3 linked regions of the Tribolium castaneum genome follow. The main gene of each other region encodes a partner of the protein of the gene in region 2 in a complex. Links are inferred from orthologs where the notes say so. Each region holds a gene or a part of one and is shown on either strand. Other genes may lie near its edges.

What was found.
Region 1: the proteins of IntS4 (region 2) and IntS11 are in contact, whole or in part, in a cryo-EM structure (PDB 7SN8), measured with the Drosophila melanogaster proteins. The link is inferred for Tribolium castaneum from reciprocal best matches to the Drosophila melanogaster genes IntS4 and IntS11. Residues at the interface, in NP_572488.1 of Drosophila melanogaster: Arg226, Ser227, Gly228, Gln233, Lys256, Phe259, Tyr260, Asp262, Ser263, Gln264, Lys299, Asp300, Asp301, Cys349, Leu351, Lys380, Lys381, Ile437, Glu441, Glu443, Phe444, Leu445, Glu446, Arg448, Asp471, Phe472, Asp475, Asn478, Glu480, Ile481; in NP_651721.1 of Drosophila melanogaster: Thr182, Pro183, Arg185, Gly188, Ala189, Trp191, Ile192, Asp193, Lys194, Arg196, Ile210, Arg211, Asp212, Ser213, Lys214, Arg215, Arg258, Asn287, Gln288, Lys289, Lys292, Thr293, Met299, Gln400, Asn404, Asn469, Ala470, Pro472, Pro473, Pro475.
Region 3: the proteins of IntS4 (region 2) and IntS9 are in contact, whole or in part, in a cryo-EM structure (PDB 7SN8), measured with the Drosophila melanogaster proteins. The link is inferred for Tribolium castaneum from reciprocal best matches to the Drosophila melanogaster genes IntS4 and IntS9. Residues at the interface, in NP_572488.1 of Drosophila melanogaster: Arg105, Leu108, Val112, Thr115, Asp116, Asp147, Thr148, Ser149, Lys153, Glu156, Gln193, Met196, Arg200, His231, Lys234, Gln264, Asp265, Ser266, Arg269, Tyr302; in NP_648838.3 of Drosophila melanogaster: Arg2, Arg23, Met88, Lys90, Met91, Asp93, Glu96, Asp98, Arg173, Lys176, Asp203, Leu205, Gly206, Gly500, Glu501, Ile502, Arg504, Val544, Lys545, Asp546.

The regions. Positions count from the first base shown.
Region 1 is NC_087396.1:21,614,334-21,618,414, reverse strand, and holds IntS11 (integrator complex subunit 11), read right to left. Parts: upstream 2,553-4,081; 5' UTR 2,422-2,552; coding exon 634-2,421; 3' UTR 618-633; downstream 1-617. Other genes in the region: gustatory receptor Gr103, read right to left, coding at 2,753-3,013, 3,062-3,910. UniProt on the Drosophila melanogaster protein: RNA endonuclease component of the integrator complex, a multiprotein complex that terminates RNA polymerase II (Pol II) transcription in the promoter-proximal region of genes.
Region 2 is NC_087398.1:12,616,024-12,620,407, forward strand, and holds the start of IntS4 (integrator complex subunit 4), read left to right. Parts: upstream 1-1,475; 5' UTR 1,476-1,562; coding exon 1,563-1,616; intron 1,617-1,669; coding exon 1,670-2,418; intron 2,419-2,472; coding exon 2,473-2,840; intron 2,841-4,384. Other genes in the region: neurotrophin receptor-interacting factor 1, read left to right, coding at 1-4. UniProt on the Drosophila melanogaster protein: Component of the integrator complex, a multiprotein complex that terminates RNA polymerase II (Pol II) transcription in the promoter-proximal region of genes.
Region 3 is NC_087399.1:2,708,141-2,712,422, reverse strand, and holds IntS9 (integrator complex subunit 9), read left to right. Parts: upstream 1-1,458; 5' UTR 1,459-1,561; coding exon 1,562-1,570; intron 1,571-1,616; coding exon 1,617-1,808; intron 1,809-1,859; coding exon 1,860-2,264; intron 2,265-2,312; coding exon 2,313-2,873; intron 2,874-2,919; coding exon 2,920-3,022; intron 3,023-3,065; coding exon 3,066-3,463; intron 3,464-3,507; coding exon 3,508-3,657; intron 3,658-3,706; coding exon 3,707-3,826; 3' UTR 3,827-3,924; downstream 3,925-4,282. Other genes in the region: E3 ubiquitin-protein ligase UHRF2, read left to right, coding at 1-92. UniProt on the Drosophila melanogaster protein: Component of the integrator complex, a multiprotein complex that terminates RNA polymerase II (Pol II) transcription in the promoter-proximal region of genes.

The sequences.
Region 1 (4,081 bases), on a different chromosome or scaffold from region 2:
AATCAATAATCTGGTGACATTTGTGACGTATTCAGTGGAAATAAAGCGCGCCAACACAAAATTATTTTATACGAGGGTGGTTTAGAATTCGTGCGGCGGCATATAAGAGGGTCGTTTGGTTGTTTGAACTAATTTTTTCATTATACAAATTAAGAATAACGCAATTTCTCACTGATCCGTTTTCAAATTGTGCATATAAATTGCTTTTTTGATGTTAAGCGCTATTTAAGTGGCACCCAAAGTACGATTTAGTTTAAAACAAGTTTTAGAAAATTTTAAGTTGCACTTATTTTCGGTGCAATTCAATTTCAGAGCTTTATTTTATTTTAATTTTTATTCTTGGACACTCAAAATGTTTGGCATTTTTCAATACGAAACGTCAAATTATTTTTAACAGATTTAAAGCAATTTGTTGTATTCAACTCATTCTCACTCGTGGTTTAATAATCCACTCATGCCGATTTACACTCAAACTCGTTAAATAAATAACTATTAAGTCACTCCGCACTCTTTTTGACAGTGGGGGAATTTCTGATAGTCACCCCTAAAGTCGTACACAATAAATTGAAACAATTTCTTTTAAATTTTCGTGTATTGGGGGTAAATAAAACACCAAATCTCAACAAAAATAAATTATTGTCCCATTCGATTCAACAAATTCAATATATAACTGCCCAAATCCTCGTCCTGATTGGTCCACGAGACGTAGACGTTCTTTTGTTCGTCCTCATCGCCTTCAACCTTGACCAGAACCGACTCGATTGAAATCTCGCCTTCGGCGAACACCACCGGCCATTGTGGCAAATTCTCTTTAATGAAACCGTGTAATTTATGGGCCGTTGCTAACGCCGGCCCTGTATCATTCAAATGAACCGTTGACGAAAACCGAATTATATGCCTATTAATCCCAGCCTCCTTACACGCGTCGTCCACGTCCATCAAACACACATTGTTCTCCTTCATGACGAGCACTCCGTGCAGGGTGCGCCTCCGTTTGGGGTCCGGCGGCAAAGCGCTGAATTTCCTCGCTTCGGACTTGAGCAGCGGCAACGAAACATCGATTGGGATTTTGACCGGTGTTGAAATAACACAAGTCTCGCCATTGGCGGGGTTATAGCAGTTAATACTGAACTCTTGGAGGATTTTCTGCTTGAGAAACTCCATTTTCTCGGCCTCGCCGTGGACAAGCATAACGTTTCGAGGTTCGCAATGTTGGATCAGTTGCATGATGCCTTTGGCATCAGCATGTGCCGAGAAACTCATGTATTCAACGGACATTTTCACCTCCACGATTTGCTTATTTTCGAATTCGACTCGTTTCGCCCCATTCAGAATTTTATGGCCCACGGTGCCTTGGACACAAAAACCGGGCATTATGACCATGTTGTTCTCATTGGGGGCCCACTTTTTGAAGATTTGGAGGCTCAGCCCCGCGTGGAGCATCCCAGGTGTGGCGAAAACCACCATGGGGCCCGGATTATCAATATACGAACGGTCGAAAGGCTTGATGTGCTTGAAATCGAACATGTTACGTTGCACGAACGTTTTTCGGATTTTTTGATTCGTCCAAGTTATAAACATTTTGTAGTAGTTGTTCGCCTTTTCGGTGAGTCCTAGGGCAAAGTACACGGGGGCTTTGAGATTCATACGTTCCCAGTATGTCTCCAGAAGGATACAAAGTTCTTGGGCACGTCCTAATGCAAACACGGGGATTAGCACTTTGCCCCCACGGTCCATACACTCGTGGACTTTTTTCAAAAAGTCGCGTTCGCGACAACGTTTCGAATCTCGAATGGTAGTGGCGTATGTCGATTCGGAGATTAACAAATCGGGGCGACATTTATCAATCCAGGCAGCCCCCAGATGCCGGTCGGGGGTCATGTTGTAATCGCCGGTGTACACCACAGACTGGGCCCCCACGCGTATCCAGAACATGGCAGCCCCCAGGACATGTCCCGCATAATACGCTTTAATTTCAATCTCGTTGTCCACCATCAAAGACTGGTGTAAAGTCACAGCAATGACTTTCTTCATACAGTCTTTGATCATTTGGGACGTGAAAAAATTCTGGTCACCTTTTTTCTCAACTGAGACTTTTCGCATGTCTTCCAGGAGAATGGGGGCGATAGCTTTAGTGGGGTGAGTCATGTAGATGGGGCCTGAGTAACCCACCATTTCGGACATGTAGGGCAAAGCCCCGCAATGGTCCAGATGGAAATGGGAGATAATTACACAGTCGATGTAGGAGGTAAGGGGACCTTCTTGAGATATGTAGGAGAAGTCGGGGAAGCGGCGCTCGTCGTTGTACCCCATGTGCATGCCGCAGTCCAACATTATGTTTTTGCCCCCCATTGTGAGGAGGATGCAGCTGCGGCCCACGTCCTGGCCGGCCCCCAAAGGGGTTATCTTGATATCCGGCATTAGAGGGTTAAAAACACCAAAAAACTAAGCAGAGCATTTGAGGTTACGTTACGAGTAGGTCATTCAGTGGCGCAGGCAACGGATCTACCACAATTCATTTTTTACTTTTAACTCCAAAACATAATGTATTTATTAACTTATTCAACTGTACTTATTAGTGATAATAAAATTTTAATTGATTACAAAATTGTCTACAGTTTTTTCCACCCATTTTTTGTTTCATTTCAAGAATTAAACTAACGTCTGGTTCAATTGATCTACTATTAAATTCACTATCGACGTGAATTACTGGTTGCCTATGGCACTTTTTTGGAAAAACCAAAATTATATCTCAATTTCGATTAAGATTACCACATAGGTGGCAACTGCAGCAATCATCTAAAAGAAACCCTAAAAAAGTAAAAATCTTGTTGATTTTTACCAAATGCCCAAACGTCCAGTCTAGACTAAAAAAATCCATAGCCGTAAAGCGCACTTTGGTGTTGTAAAACCGAATGGAAATCAATTGAAGATAACGTACATTTCTGTCAAGTTTCCCTCTTTCCAAATACTTATTCCAAATATCGTGCAGATAGATTGCAGCTAAATTAGCCTGGAAACACTTTTAACGCAATCACTTGCCACAAATCTAACCGTTTACCGTATTTTGAGTCCTTGCAAATCCATCTATTACAAAACACAACCAAAAAAAATGCAAAACGCCAAACATGCAATTAAAACCGACATCTGTCCAAAAAGAAGGACTACCATGGACTAGAACATGCAGTGTGTAGTAACTACCATCAACCATGTACCCAAACCACATTCCCATCGCAGCCAATGTTGTGATTTCGAACAGTCTTGTGATTTTTTTGGTCAAATCGACCAAATTGTAATGAGAAAACGACAATTCTTGGACTCGTCGAATGTTCGTTTTAATATCCTCATCCTCTGTTTTGATTTGGTGGCGCAAATGGTGATTAATCGAACCAAATTTAGATGAAATAAAGTTGAGAATATCACACAAAAACATGTGATCAAAAATATTGATGAACAAAGGAATGAAGTAAAAAAAGGATAAATCAATCATAGAATTCGAAAACGGCACTAGTAAAATTAAGCCAACTATACCGGCGAAAAGCAAAATTTGTATGCAACTCAAGCGCGACTTTTCATTTGTTTGAAAAATTTCAATTTTGTCGGTTTGCTCAAGTAAAGTTTTGAGTCGCTTGCTCCTTTTGCGAAACATAACGAGTGATGTTAGCATTGATAAAACCGTTCCAACGGTTGATAGCAAGTCGAGGTAGTGGAATAGACCAGTGAATCCCAGAGTCATGTAATCGGAGGAAAATTTAACACTAGTATACAGAAAATACAGCTGCAAACAAACGTAAAGAACGGTGGGAGATATCTTTACGATTTTGTGTGAATTTTTGGGACAAAACTGGATGATTCCCAACGATCTGTACACAAATATCATGTAGTTTGGGAGTGTTTCAAACAAATACATTGTGATAAAGTAGGGGAACGTAACTTATTGATTCAAGTCTAGTTTATCCAACCACTCAAGTAAATTGTTCATAAATAACAACAATGCTGTATTGTTTCTATACCTTGTGAATTTTCTCCGCACTATCACATTTTCCGATTATAAAATTAACTTTTTTGAGTTAAATGATTC
Region 2 (4,384 bases):
GTAGCTTGCTGGGGGCGGCGGAATGGTCCACATTCGTACCTAAATTATTTATTTATTTATTCGTCGGCCGGCGACATTCCGCCAACGCACAAATTTCTCTCGATGAACAGCAACGAAAACACATTTTTGATGCTACTTTGCCAAGTTTTGTTCCTAGCATTGTTTTGTTTTGTTAATTTTTTTATTATATTGTACTCATGTGCTGTGATTATGTGAAATTTATTTTCAAAAGAGATCGGAATTTTTGTGTATTTATTTTTTATCGAATCTGCCTAAAATTTCTTGCCATTTCTGTATTATCGCGTACTTGATAAAATTTAGAATTTTTTAATTTATTTATCGTATGATTAGTTTCTTTGTTACTCGCAGTGTGGAATCTACAATTGTTTGTTTTTTCTGTTCAGTTTTTTTCCTAATAATTAAAAGTATTATCGTTCCACTCTGCTCTAGGTTACTCCGCAGTGCTTCAACGAAGCATTTAATTTAGTTTCAGATGCTTTTAGTTTAATGCTAGCGCTTAGTGATTAGGAAGAAAAAACTTCAGTTTACCATATGTCAAGGCATTATATGACCTTTTTACCTTATAATACTCACTTTGTAAAATAAAAATGTTTATTGTATATTGATTAAATAGTATAATTTGTTGTACACATTACAAATGTGAGTACAAATGCGACCGAGTCGCGTCATTTGTTATTTTCTAATCCTTACCATCTTACAATTGTTGTCTATGTTATAAATGTTTACGTAATGTTACAATTGTTTTGTAAATCGATCATACTTAATGCTCTTGTTTACTAATTTTTGTATTATAATCAGTATTTGTTGATGTTTTTTGTAAATGTTCGTAATTCTTATTTATGACAGTTTGCCATGGTAAAGGGATTTATATTATTATTATGTTTTTTGTTCTATTTTGGATCTCATTCAATTTAGTTTTTTTTGCTTGCTTCTTTGGCCCATAACTGCCAACTTTTTTCCAACTGTGTTCTCTCTGAAAGACAATACTCAAATAGACTACATATACGTACGAAAAATATGTACATCCAGACACTTTATATAAACTTTTTTGTTTATATTCGCCATAGAACATGTTTTATACTCAGATTACGTTATGTATAGTTATATCAGATTTTATCTCCTCTTTATTATTGATTTTATAAAGTATTTTTATACCTAGATTCATATATTTACATTTTATAACTTTATTATATAATTGTGAATTTATTACAAATAAACATTATTTAAAACAAATGAGTTTAACCCGACCCCCAAACCCATCCCAAACGATACGCCATTGGCACAAACAAACCGTCATTCGGTCCAACAACAAAATAGCATTAATTACCTAATTGGACAAAACAATAATTTAGAATTAATGCCAGAAACCGACAAATGCGGTAAATTAATACCTTTACCGCTCATAAATAAAAAAAATCAAAAAACCAAATTTTATGTAATTGTCACCAGGTGGCGGTTGCGTAACTTTTTGACATTTGACAACAATCACAAAATAAAATGTTTAAAAAACGCTAAAATCGGTTAATTACCACATAAACACGATGGCTGCAGTGTTGAAAAAACGCGCTTTGGCCGAATTCACCCAAACAATCCAGGTATGGGCTAAATTTCCCTTTGTCCAAAATGAGGTTATGTTTACATATTCCAGGAAACTGTTCCTTTCCAACCGATTAAAAAACTCAAACTTGTCAAGAAGCCTTCCACAGGCACCGGGAACTCGTCTTTGGCACTTATTAGTTGTCTTGAAGGTTGCAAAAGCAGTAGCGAAGCCCTACGAACTTTGCTTCGTGTCTCTGATACTTTCGAGCTTGAGGCTTCAGATATTCCCGAAGCAGTTAAAAAACTGAGCGATCATTTTAAGAATGAGCCAGAGTCGGCCGTTAGAGTAAAAATTTTGTCACTTTTGTGCGACATTGGGCATCTACCCAACGCTGATGTTGTGTCCATTATTGACGAGACGATTTTGTTGCTTAAAAATGACCATTCACATAAAGTTATCGCTCAGGGGATGAATACCGTGCTTAAATTAGGGAAGCTGGTCTCTGATAATGTCATCGCTTTGCATCAGAAACTGGTAGAAGTGGCGAAAAGTTACTTGAAAGATGTCAGTCATGCTGTCAAGAGGAAATGTCTAGAGATCATTGGCGTGCATACGCCGGTTTGTACGGGGGCAGAGGCGGAGAAATTAATGGTTTTGATTAGTTCGTACTTTAACCACGACGACGCCAGGGTGCGTAGTCAGGCTTTTTCGACGATTATCACCCTACATGAGCGCAATTTTAAAATAAATCCGGACATTTATATAGATGTTTGCGATGCCTTAAAGGACGACTACGAAATTGTCCGTCAAGTCGTTCTCAAGTTAGTGTGTCTTTTGGGCAACACGTTTCCGGAAAAGTAGGCTTAGCCTAAACCCTCTCTTCTATTTACATTTAATTGAAAAAATTTCAGTGAGGTTGTACTTCCGGGAAGTGAACACGAAATCCGTCTCATAGACGACGCTTTCGGTAAAGTTTGCAACTCGATTTCTGATTTATCAATCCATGTTCGAACCTTGGCGGCTAAACTATTGGGAACGATGAAACAAGTCAGTGCGAAATTTCTCAACCAAACTCTTGATAAAAAATTAATGTCTAATATGAGGCGCAAAAGGACGGCTCATGAGTTGGCTTGGGAAAATGTAACGAGTGGAGAATGGGCGAGTGGGAAAAAATGGGCCGATGACGCCCCCAGGGAAATCCTCGACGCTGACAGCATCAATTTGATGAGCAGTGGGGCGTGTGGGGCCTTCGTGCACGGCTTGGAGGACGAGTTTATGGGTAAATGACGAGGCAAAGCCGAGTGTCATAATTTTTATCTACAATTATCTACTTTTTTTTGACTTATTGGTAATAATACAGTTGTGGACTTTTAGGTAGTGGTAAAGAACTTTAGATCAATTTTTTTTTAATTTCTTTGATCATTAAGCAGATATCTGTTAAAAAAAATCATCAATTATGTGCCAATTAGTGTATTATGGTATTTAAAAAATTTAATAAGCTCACAAATTAGATAGTAAATTAAATTTGACATCATTGGGAATAAAAGAACAATGAATGAAACTGTTCCTAAGGAAAACAAATAGAAAATATACAGGATGGTTCAGTGAAGACAGTTCACCCAAGTTTTCGATGTTTGGACTCGATTTTTACAATTTATGGGGTTCATAAAGACTAAAAAAATTATGGCCATTTAGAACATTCAAATAAATAATTTAATAAATAAACTGTAATTAAAAAAAAGAAATTTTTAGAAAACTTATACCAAATAAAAAAAATAACACTTGGTGGAAGTGCGGGCAAGACGGGGTATGAGCTTTAAATAATAAACTAATTGACTAATAATCATTTTTTGTACGTGGCGAAGCCCAGTTAAGACAGCTTTTAATTGTAGATTTTTAATTGAACGATACCACCATGCCTTTTGCGAGTTTTATGAAAAAAACCTGTTTTTGGCGATTTTCTTATGATTTTTTTCACTTTCTTTAGTACGTGTCTGTTTTGTTAATAACAAAATTTCAAATTGCTTTTATGGTTATTCATATGTCAATGATTTTTCTAACAGGTTAACATCTATTTATTTGTAGATGACAACATAGTTTTTGGAAGTTAATTTTCTAACACAATTTGCCGTAAGAGGGCAAGACGGGCTGAGACCTTGCTCGTAACAGTAATATGTAAAACTCCTCTCTTCATAAAAAACCTTAAACCATAACAAAGTTTGGAAAATAAGCAAAAGAATAAAAATTACAGAGCTAAAGGAAAACTGAAAAATCTGGGGTTGATAAAAAGAGTGTTCAAAAAGAAAAAGATTTTAAGATTAGACCATCAATCGAGAGCAACAGTGAAATTGAAATTAGGGGTACCCCATCTTACCCACAAGGACTTTTTCTACTTTGTTTCACTTTTATATTTAATAAAGGTTCCAAATAAAACTTATTAATCACAAAAAACTAATTACCAAGGATAATTAATAATACAAAAATTTTATAGAGCTTCAAACGTTAAGTACCCCGTCTTGCCCGCACTTTCCCTATTGTAAAGAGGTTTTAATAGATTTTAAAATAACATCATAATTAACCCCTGTTTCCATTAAAAAAATATATAATTACAGGCAGCCCCTCTTTGGGGGTTGAAGTGGTACGAACACAAAGTAAATATTTAAGTGTCCCCCTTGGATATAAAATCGCACTGTCTTAGCGTTTTGAGTTAAGTGACTCCAAACGTTAAAAATTTGGGTGTATTGGTTTCAGTGGGCCACCCTATATATTAAATATTAAAAATCAAGTTGCTTGAAAAAAAAACATTTTTAAACTTTACTGAAT
Region 3 (4,282 bases), on a different chromosome or scaffold from region 2:
CCGATTTGGAAAAAAGTTGTTCGCTGAGGATTAATGATAATTTACAAGCGGCCTTAAAACTCCTTTTTCCAGGAAATGGGTTCAATCGTTGAACAATTTATTGTAGTAGAAATAAATGTTTAACTTTCCCGGCGCATCCACCATTTTTGTCAATGGACCAAAAGTTATTAAAACATGGTTTACATCACTTTTATTTAAAAATTACATAGCGTTGACAACTAGTTTTTCTTTAAACTGAATCATCACAATTAAATATGTAAAAATAATGCTAAAAATGTGGTAAACTGTTGACCTGGTTATGACTACAAATCGGCCCACGTAAAATTTTGGAAAATTAGCGGTCATGTCTGAAATAATAATTTGGTAATTTCTTATTACAGTTTTCCTGTGTAATTTTTGTGCCAAAATTGTGAGTTTTTCTGCCTCTACTAAAACTGAGTCACACAACCATATTAATACGATGGTGCCGCCCTAAAAAACTCGATGTTTTGTGAATGTTTATAAAGAAAAAAATTATTTACCGTGGTCATTATTAGGAAACAGACGTTAGAAATGATGACCTCATCATACTCATTTTTCTCATACAAAAATCCGCTTTCAAAACTGTCATCAAAGTAGTTAAGAATCTGCAAACTTGTGTACACGATTATTAGAAGGAACGGCCATCCAAACACTTTATTAAAATGCTCGGTTGTATTTTTTAACAATCGAAGTGTTTTTTTAATTTTTAATATTTGACAGTCGTGTTTTTTGGACAATATAACACCTACATTTTTGTAACCTTGAAGTATTATATCAAGAACAACATACAATAAATACTGATAGTAAAACAACATGTATGACTGTATTATTTCAATCCCATATTGCTTGAAAAATTCCAATCCCATTACGTCAGTCCATACAAACGCGTCGTAAACACTAACAGTCCAAAAAATAAAAAAAGTTAGAACAAAGCTCGTGTAGTAATTTTTGGGAGCAAATAAACAAATTTTTCCCAGTTCATTGTTAAGGCGAAGCCACGTTTTGCGTCTCCAAAACGATGCCACAACAATAATTAAACAATTAAAGATAAACAAAGTTGCGTCCATTAAAACAGCAATCACAAGTTTGATGTGAATGAGACTCATGTAATCAGATTTTTTGTAAAATGTAGCAAGGGCAACGTTTAGTGTAAGAAAGAGTAAAACTAGCGTGGGAACTACGAGTTTTTTTGATTTAGAGGGCACAATTGCTAGAATTTTGCCCATTTTCAGTAAAAGTGATAACAGGAACATTTTGAAAATAGAGTCAACGAAAATTATTTATTCGGACTATGAATTAGTGGGAGTTCCCAATTTGCGACTGACTTTTTACATATTAAGGCTTATCGATTGATAAAAAGATTAAAAAGTAATTATTAATTAATTAAGAGACCAAAGTGAAGTTTTTTGTCCCCAATCGCTTGTGGAATGTGGGTTGCATATCAATTATTTTTTTAAGACAGTTGTAGTTATGTTCCTCTCTCTTATTCTATGGTTATGTTCGTTTTTTGTCGGCGTTTTAGGTTATAAACAGTTTTAAAATGAAATTAGTGAGTTATTTTAATGCAGATTAACTCAAATAACGTTTCGTTTTAGTACTGTTTGAGTAACGACCCGAACAAGCCATGTCACATCCTTACCTTCAAGGAAATAACTTTAATGTTGGACTGCGGTCTTTCCATGCAATCAGTATTAAATTTCCTCCCTTTATCATTTGTTGCCTCGAGTAAATTATCAAACTTACCAAACTGGATGCCAAACGACGTCTCTGATTCAGATTTGGAAGGAGTAGATAGAGTTAAAATCGAGTAAAGTAGCAAAATAAGTTGAAAATTTCAGGAATTGAAAGAGAATGGGGACCGCATTTTTGTCGACTCACCGCCGGAATTTTGCCCCCCTTTAAACAAACTCATAGATTTTGCCCAAGTCGACGTTATCTTAATTTCGAATTATTTGTGCATGATGGCACTGCCATTTATCACAGAAGGGACTGGGTTCCAAGGTAGGGTGTACGCCACTGAGCCCACTCTCCAAATCGGACGACTACTACTCGAGGAACTCGTTAATTACATTGACCAGTGCCCCAAAGCCAGTTTCGCAACCCAGTGGAAAAATCTCATTCATAAATTACCCTATCCTTTGAGCGACTCCTTCAAGCCCAAATCCTGGAAACAACTCTACAACATGAACGACGTCAATGCGAGTTTATCGCGCATACAGATGGTGGGCTACAACGAGAAAATTGTAATTTTTGATTCATTCCGCAACAATAAATAACTAAATATTTGCCAGGACGTTTACGGGGCTTTGAAAGTGATGCCTTCAAGCTCCGGCTTTTGCCTCGGCTCCTCCAACTGGATCATCACCTCCGACCACGAAAAGATCGTCTATTTGAGCGGCTCAAGCACCCTCACCACCCACCCCCGCCCCATGGACCACCACTCCCTCAAAAACGCCGATGTCTTGATCATGACAGACCTCACACAAACCCCCATCAGTAACCCGGACTCGATGTTGGGCGTTTTGTGCGTGGTGGTGGGGCTCACGCTACGTGGGGGAGGCAATGTTTTAATCCCGTGCTATCCCACGGGAGTTGTCTACGATTTATTTGAGTGCTTGTCGGTGAAAATGCAAGATTTGGGCGTTTCGAACTGTCCCATGTTTTTCGTGTCTCCAGTGGCTGATACTAGCCTAGCCTACTCTAATATTTTAGCCGAGTGGCTTTCGTCGGTTAAACAGAACAAGGTGTATGTGACCGAAGAGCCGTTCCCGCACGGACTTTTGGTCAAAAACAACAAACTTAAGCATTTTAAACATGTTTACTCGGACGGGTTCAGCACGGATTTCCAGGAGGTTTTTTTTAAAATTTAGTAGCCAAAAATAGTTGAATTATTTTTAGCCCTGTGTTGTTTTTTGTGGGCACCCCTCCTTAAGATTTGGCGATGTTGTACGTTTTATCGAGTTGTGGGGCAATAACCCAAGGAACTGCATTGTTTTTACAGGTAATTACATTTAAAATTTTTTGTTAATAAAATTTTTTTGCAGAGCCTGATTTCGACTACACCGAAGCCTTAGCCCCGTACCAGCCCCTGCAAATGAAAGTGGCTCACTGTGCCATCGACACTTCGCTCAATTTCACCCAAGCCAACAAACTCATCAGGGACTTAAAACCGAACACACTTGTGGTCCCTGAATGCTACACTCAGCCCCCAGTTTCGGCCCCAAACCTGACCGACTATGTTATTGAAAATAATCACGACCGTACATTAATTCCGTACAAATGGGGCGAAGTGATTAACTTGCCTTTGAAGCGGAAACATAGTCAGATTTTTATTGAAACCGGAGTTGCTCAAAAAATTGTGCCGGTGGAAGTGAAGCCTGGGATTAGTTTATCGAGTATTACGGGGACTTTGAGTATTAAAGACAACGTGCACAGCATACAGGTGAGAAAAATGATAAAGGAAAAAGTTGGTAGGTATTTTTTAAGGATTTGTCGTCCAGTGTGAATAAGGCGAGTAAACACGTCAAGTATGAGTGGGGGAGTTTGAATGTGACTGATTTTTTGCAAAAGTTGAGTCAGGAGGGGATTAGTGAGCCGAAGGTGGAGTCGCATGGGAATGTCGTTGTTATACATTTGGTAAGTTCATACTTACCGGTTTAATTATTTATTTTATGATTTTTTGAAGCAAGAGGAAGACGCGTTGATTCAGTTGGAAGACAATAGTACGCACGTGGTGTGCACTGGTGACGAAACTTTGAGGACAAAGCTGCGCAGTATCGTTATGCAGTGTTTGAAGAAGTTTTAGTCAGGCGTTTAAACAATTTATTACATTGAATATCGTATTTCACATGTATATAATATGTATGCAGAAGTAGACAAAGATGAAAATACTTGTATTTAATACTTGCACGTGTTTTTCCAAACACCCTGCACTTATCAAACACAAAGTTACAATTGTAAATTGTACAACAGCTTACGAGATAATATTACAGTAAAAAGTAATAAATATAGTATATTTTACAGACATGTATATATGGTGGAAGAAACAAACGCACACTTTACCTCTTGATTGTCTTAAAAAAAAGTAATTACAAATATATCAAAAACTACACACGAGAGTAACTTATGAGAAATTTACACAGTGTATATATTAAATAATACAGGCACGTTTTTTGATATTTCTGGATAAAGTAAAACACATGGAATGCTTAATAAACTTATTCAAATAATTCACAGCTTTCTTCATAAAGTATGTACAAAA